2 linked regions of the Cricetulus griseus genome follow. The protein of the gene in region 1 binds, or shares a complex with, the protein of each later gene. Links are inferred from orthologs where the notes say so. Each region holds a gene or a part of one and is shown in the gene's direction. Other genes may lie near its edges.

Region 1 (3,668 bases):
GAAATCATAGGATACCACACAGGAGAGACTGCCCTTTATTCACCACTGTCAAAACACCTATCATGTTCCTTTCCATGTTTTTTTGTATATACTGTGCATGTAATGTATTTTTTATATATGTGTAATCATTCTATGTGTACGTGTTTCTTGCTCCCTTCTCTTATAAGTTACTTTCTCTGGTTGGTAAAAATGCCTTTGAACAAACACATTGTCTTTAAAGGGATAAATATACTCTACTGAATGAATAATAGTAATTTAAATGCCTTTCCATCCATTGTCGGGTGGTTAGGCTGGCCAGTTAATCAGTCCATAGCTAATATTTGCAGGAGACACGAGGCTTTGGAGGTATATCAGGTAATGCAAAGAATCTGGAGCATTTATTTTTTGGGGGGGTAACTTTTTCCAGGGAGCTGGAGAACATTTTCTTATTGGTGGGTGGTAGGCCTTGGAAGAGTGGCTGTCCAAGTAGGATTCTCCGTGGCTCACGTGTGTGCACTGACATGCGTGCCTGACCTTCAAACACTAACGCCCCTCCACAAGCTGGCAGCCCAGCAGGCTTAGGCTATGACTGGTGTTTCGCCGCCACGCGCCGCCACGTGCCGTCGCAGCCCCGCCCCCTGCTGCTCCCGGCCACGCCCCTCACACGCGGCTTTCCCAGTTGCGGCCCGCGGCGACCTCCGCGAGTGCCGCCTGCTCTCCAATGTAGCCACGCCCCCGGTCACTGGGCCACGCCTTCACAATCCGGGCCCCCGGGGCCGCTCCGCCCCCAGGCCGCTCGCAGGCGCGGGGGCGGGGCCCTGCGCGATGACGTGGGCGGGCGTGCGCGTTGACGACCCGCGTCTCTGTTAGTCAGCGGAGCGGCCGAGGCCGGACGTCGCGGCCGGAACGCGGAGCCGCGAGCAGGGCTGAGTAGCGGCCGCGGCCACCGCGGGACGGCGCCGCTCACCGCTACGGGCTTCCCGGTCGCCATTGGCTGCGCTGCCGGGTGAGTGCGCGGGCTCCGCGGCCCGGGCGGCCGCCGCCTTCCCCCGGCCGTGACCCCCTCCGGGAACGCGCGCGGGGCGGGGGCGGCGCGGGAACAATAGCGCGGGCGGCGGGGCAGCGGGGGGCGTGGTCCACTCGGCGCGACCTGGCTTCTCCACTCTGGCCGGTTTCCACGTTGCGCGGGGAGAATGGAGCCGGTGGGCGGCAAGTTCGGAGGTGCTCTCGCGGAGATCGGGCCGACGCGACCGTACATAGGTCTCCCGCACCCACGGGGAGCGTGTTTTGACTGTGGGCGGTTTCTTTGTGCGGACGTGAGTGCCGCGACGCCGTGAAGGGCCGGGTGGCCGCGAGCGCGCCGGCCTGCGGGCCGCGCCTTCAGAGGGGCTCCTGGCGCTGACCTTTTGACTTTCCCCCACCGCTGTCTCTTTGTCTTGTGCCTGGATTCCCAGTCCAGACACGGTAGATCCAAGTCCATTTTAAAGTACCGTAAGGAACACCTTGCATTTTCATTCCCGAAAGTTCCCTATACCACCGGCAATTTAATAACATGTTGACTGCACGGTGTCCAGTAGTTGCTATTTCTACTTCTGAAATCAAGTGGTCTTTTCAGTAGAATTCTGGTCTGTCAGCCTATTGTGTTTTGAGATGAGCATCCGCCAAGTACCTTTTGGTCAGTTAGAACATCTGTTTATTTCATTCATTCATTCAGCAGCTGTTAGTACTGTATCCAGATGGAGAGGATGTGAAGGCCAAGAGAAAGACCCTTACGAATAGGGTACTTTGGAATAGAATAGATGTGCCTTTAAATAAGACTGTTATATAAGTGATATATGTTAAGTAAGGTATTTGCCTCGTTTTATTAGAACTTCTGAAGGTAATGTGATAGGTAATGTGAAGAAGAGCTAGATTTGCTTAAATATACCACCATTATTCTTAAATCTTACCACCACTCCCCTAATTTCTTGTCGTTGTTAATGGTTACCTCAGGCTGTTAGACCTGGGAGGTCAGGTTCTCTGAGTGAACATGTTTACTGCTGTGTATGATGAAAGCAAGCACTCAAAATGGTACTTCGATGCCTATCTTGCATCATTTCTCCAGCACCTAGCATGGAAGTCATACACGTTGAGTTGATTAAAAAAAAAAGTTTATAGAGGAAAATTGGAAGCTTTAAATCCCACCCCCACCCCCGAAGTTTGAGAAGTGTCAAGCATCACTCTCAGTTGGCTGCATCGTAAATTAGTAGAGGATACTACCTGTTAAGATAAAAGAGGGTTTGGGATCACTGTTTTTGTTTTTATGCTTTACTTCCAGGGCATTCACTATTTTAAGACCACCCCTGAATTTTTTGCATATAATTAATAAAGTAGAAAATTGTGTTGTGTGTGTGTGTGGTGGGGGGTCTGTTAAGTATGTGTGTAAAAGTTGAGCATCCATAACTTGAAAGTCGGAGATACTCCAAAATCTGAAACACTTACAGTCCTTTGCAGATAAGGGGCATTCACTTGGTACTTTGTCATCAAAGTTGGGTACTTTGTTCACTTCCAATATTTTAGATAAGGGCTTTTTCCAGCCAGATGTGTGAATGAACCCAGACCTAACAGTGGTGTTTCATTAGGAATCTAACATGATTTCATTTTTCTCCCCTAAAAAAAAAAAATTACTATCTAGGGTGCATGGTGTGTTTTTTGGGGCAGGGGGTACACATACTTCTGTGTGCATGTGGAAGCCAGAGGACAACTTTGTGGGGTTGATTTTCTTTTACCTTTAAGTGGGTTCTAGACATCAAACCCAGATTCCCAGACTTTTAGGGAATGTATCTTTTCCCACTATTATTTCACAAGTTTTTATGATTTCTTTGAGTAGAAAAGCACAACACCCACATGTGTTTTACAGATATTTTATTTCTAATAGTCTAGAGCTGGTTAATGTTTTAGAGTTGCTTACTGGAAAGGTCAGGTTTTAGCTTGTACTTATCTATCTCACAGAGCATATGGGTTTAAAATGCAAAATACTATGAATTTATCCAAGTTTTGGCACGTTTCCACTATTTAAAAAATATTTCTTTTCGATATGAAAAGTCATTCAGATGAACTTATTTACTGTAGAATAAGAATGGAAAAATAAGGAAATTATTCTATTACTCTGAGTGATAGACCTTGGGGCACCAAACTTTTATTGCTTTACCTAGCTAAGTGTATGAGGTTCCAGAAGGGACTCTGGAATTAAGAAATCATTTGAGTGGCTCACACACAGACAGACTCTGCATAAATTCAGTTAGGTTGTCTTCTAAATTCTGTTGTTTAAACAGCTTTCTTGAGATTTAATTCACATAAAGAGTGGCTCTCATAGAGTATTTTTTAGTGGTGTTTAGTCTACTTGCATAATTATGCATTGATCACTACTATACCATTCTGGAGCATCATTGTACCACAAAGAAAACCCCCTTAAAAAAAAAAAAAAAGCAGTCTGGTGTTTGAAAGGAAGAGAGTATGGGTTCTGTTAATAAATAAGTCCCTTTAATGAAAAGGGTACCCTTTAACTGTCGTGGCATATTAGGAAACTGTATATTTCATGCTCCTTTTAATCCTTAGAGAAATTACTTGGAAAGGAAATTTAGTATAAGAGTTAATTGAGCCATATGTGGTGATACATGCCTGTAATCCCAGGACTTGAGAGGCCAAGA
Region 2 (3,649 bases), on another chromosome or scaffold:
CTGTGGACATGTTGGGTGCTTTGCAAAAGTTTGTTGATTGTCTTGCTCTAGTTTCTTCTAGAACTTAGAGGTGATTCTTATTCCTCACTGACATAAAAGTATATTGAAAATCAATACAGTGTAATGAAACTTGGTGCTTAGAAGACAAGACCTGGACATATAATAAATGTGGGATTTGTAAAATAAGATTTCTCAGGTGCCTCTATATCGGGCCCTGTGAGAAAGGTGGTAGCTGGACTTTTATAGGAGAGGGAATTACTTATGTTTTCATCCACTCAGTGATGCCTTTTTTTTCTTTTAAAGAAAATATTTATGTTTTGACTGCATGCATGTCTGTGCACCATGTATGTGCCTGTTGCATGAGAAGGCATTGGATCTCCTGTATTGGAGTTAAAGATGGTTGGTGGAAATTGAACCTTATTTCTCTGTGAGAGCTGCTGGAGTTCTTAACTGCTGAGCCATATCTCTAGCCTAAGTGATGTCTTTTTGATTCCAGATACTAGTGAGCTTTGCTCACCAGTGCTGCCTCCCACATCTGAGACAGAGGATCTAACTATGTAGCCCAGACTGGCCTGGCATTCGGAAGTCCTCCTTTTCAGCCCCTTGATCCTAGCAGGAAAGACAGGCACTGTCATGCCCAGCTTCACTGGTGTTTTCTTCTTGAGTGCATTCCTCCCCCTCCTTCTCCTCTTCCTCCTCCTCCCCTCTCTCTGTTTGACCCATGGTCACTTTTATTTATGAATTTTAGATAAATTAGGTAGTTTTGTCCTCAGAACAAATATTTGTGAGGAGATCCTCACTTCTGCATCTGTCTTTTGTAGAAGCTACATAACCAGTAAATTCCAGGCCACTTCTCTTTATAGCCTGGTCTCTTTTCTCCATGCCCTAGGCTTGAAATTTAAGCTTAAAACGATAGAATATGACCTTAAGAAGATTGAAATCTCTACCACCTTGTTCTGAAATCAAGCAATCAAATATTTATTTATAATCTTAATTCATTTTCTAACAAGAAAGGTTTTACTTACTATGAAAGTTAAATTGAGCACCGTATCTACAAGCAGAGTGGAAGTACAAGCCATTTCCACCAAATGTACATCTCTAGAAGTTGAATGCCAGTAGCAAACTTCTCATTTTAGTCAGAGAATGTTTCACGTCAGGAAAATGGAACAAGATAGATACAAATCTAAGAATGCCAAAGGCTAGGACCCAACACAAATTTTGGACACTAAACTCCAATTAGTGTTACGTAGGAAATGGTTCCTTCAAGAGTTTGATGAGATGGGGGAAGCATTTTAAGGGCTCTGCACACTATCTTCAAATTCCGGGTTAAAGGGTTCTGTTAGTTATGGTTTCTTTTGCTGTGAAGAGACATCATGACCATGACAACTCTTATAAAGGAGAACATTCTCAGGAGAATCCCTAACTTCTAGCCTTAGAAAGGACATGCCTGTGTGGTTTGAAGAAAATGATCTTCTAGGAGGTGTGTCACTGTGGGGTGGACTTTGAGGTCTCCCATGCTCCAGCTACACCCAGTGTGGCACACAGTTGCTTCTGCTGCCTGTAGATGAAGATTTCGAACTCCCAGCTCCTTCTCCAGGATCATGTCTGCCTACATGATGCGGTATCCTATCATGACGATAATGGACCAAATCTCTGAAACTGTAAGCAAGTCCCAGTTAAATGTTCTCCTTTATAAGAGTTGCCATGGTCATGATGGCAGGTCAAGGACCTTGAGGTGGAGATACGGGCTTGGGAAGGAGATAGGCCAGGGTCATGACTGTGAAATCACCTGCTGTGTAGCTGTGCACATCACAGGCCCTGTGTAGCTCTTAAAAGGTAACTGAAGTGTGCTTAAAAGATAACTGAACTGTGTGGAGCCTTGTTTTCCTGACCTTTCTCAAGGGGCTACTGTTTGCACCTGTGTACTCATCACAGTAATTTTTAAGCCAGGAGAAAAGTGTTTTGTTTTTTTCCTCTCCTAATAATATGGACTTGCTAACCCAATTCTTTGCTATTGTTCTGTGTACTGTTTTCAGGAATAAGTAAATAAAATGGAAGAAAACCATTTGGAATAGTAACACTTTGAGCTACCTTTTCTAGCCTTTTAACTTCATACAAACCATTTAGTTTGGGATCTCAGGTGATTATAATTATGAATGCTAAGTTTTGTTTTCTTGAAGTTTTTATATTGTAAGCTTAAAACTGAATTAATAGTATACCCGGTTTCTCCCTCTTCAAGCTGTGTCTACTTGATCTTTTTTGTTTGTTCAAATGACACAGTGCATTAAGTATGGAATTAGATTAATGAAGTAAATATTATGAATCATACATTCTCTAATCTGGTACTCATTCTTATTTCTGACCCCATGTTTTGTTTTCTGTCTTTCTTTCTCTCTTCGTATAGGTTGTCAGTCCAGTGTAAAGCTGTTGGAGTGAGGGAGCAAAGGTAAAGGATGATGTAATGCCCTGGCTGCCCCAAAGCATCTTTTGTTGTGGATGGTTATTCCCGTCATCTCCCCATGGATCAGATGTGAGGGGCTGCTTTGTGGAAGGAGTCCTTTGCAAGGCACGTCAGCAGGAAAGAGAAAGAGACATTCAGTTGGAGGGCTCTTGCTGAAATGGGTTTAACTCTCCTTTTGCCAGTCACCACTAGCCTGACCTCATACATTTATAGTACAATGGAGTGGCTGAGCCTTTGAACACACCACCATTACATCATCGGGAAAATTAAAGAACGAGGTGGGAAAAGAGGACTTATTGTTGTCATGGCCCATGAGATGATTGGAACTCAAATTGTTACTGAGAGGTTGGTGGCTCTGCTGGAAAGTGGAACGGAAAAAGTGCTGCTAATTGATAGTCGGCCATTTGTGGAATACAATACATCCCACATTTTGGAAGCCATTAATATTAACTGCTCCAAGCTGATGAAGCGAAGGTTGCAACAGGACAAAGTATTAATTACAGAACTTATCCAGCATTCTGCAAAGCATAAGGTAAATTCTTTATGACTTTTTAAAGTAAGTGGACATAGCAACCGAAGAAATATTTTGATTGAAGATTATTTTTTAAGTACAGAAAGTAATTTGAGGAAATTTTGGTTGTCTTTTGGAATTTGGCAATCTTGCAATACCTAAAAATAGATTAACAATCACATTGTCATATTAAGAATATTTTAAACTAAGTCAGGCAATTGTAGCTTATGCCTACCTATAATCCTAACATGGGAGGGTGAGGGAGAAGATTGCCACAAGTTCAAGGCAAGCCTGGGCTACATAGCAAGATCCTGTCTCAAGAATGTCAGGGGAAGGAAAGTATTATTTTAAGCTATACATAATAGTTAACTTATTGTAATTTGGACACAATACTATGTTTATGTATTAGTGTCTTGATGAGATTGTCTTATCAATTTAAACAACATTTTGTCTTTTCTCCAAATCCACTGAAAGTCGTTCTTTTCAAGTGCTTTGAAAGTAAGAATTAATTATTAGAAGTAAAAGTAATATTTATATGTGGTAATATTGGTTAAGACATTTTCTTCAGGAAATAATTATTCTCGGCCATATGTGTATATGTTGGGAAAGGCTGTTCCCCCCCCCTTTTGTTTTTCTGAGACAAGTCTTATATGTTCTAAAAGTTGCTATATAGCTGA

Evidence for each region. Proteins that work in one complex are often made in the same cells at the same time.
Region 2: the proteins of Mapk8 (region 1) and Dusp16 are in contact, whole or in part, in a crystal structure (PDB 4YR8), measured with the Homo sapiens proteins. The link is inferred for Cricetulus griseus from reciprocal best matches to the Homo sapiens genes MAPK8 and DUSP16. Residues at the interface, in NP_001310257.1 of Homo sapiens: Arg189, Val196, Ile197, Leu198, Gly199, Asp229, Ile231, Trp234, Gln253, Thr255, Val256, Thr258, Tyr259, Val260, Asn262, Arg263; in NP_085143.1 of Homo sapiens: Phe215, Leu267, Asp268, Tyr271, Lys275, Pro279, Ile281, Ser282, Pro283, Asn284, Phe285, Asn286, Leu288, Gly289, Gln290, Leu292, Asp293.

Annotation. Positions count from the first base shown.
Region 1 is NW_023276807.1:185,964,755-185,968,422, forward strand, and holds the start of Mapk8 (mitogen-activated protein kinase 8), read left to right. Parts: upstream 1-834; 5' UTR 835-985; intron 986-3,668. UniProt on the Homo sapiens protein: Serine/threonine-protein kinase involved in various processes such as cell proliferation, differentiation, migration, transformation and programmed cell death.
Region 2 is NC_048601.1:14,194,540-14,198,188, forward strand, and holds part of Dusp16 (dual specificity protein phosphatase 16), read left to right. Parts: intron 1-2,404; 5' UTR 2,405-2,765; coding exon 2,766-2,993; intron 2,994-3,649. UniProt on the Homo sapiens protein: Dual specificity protein phosphatase involved in the inactivation of MAP kinases. Dephosphorylates MAPK10 bound to ARRB2.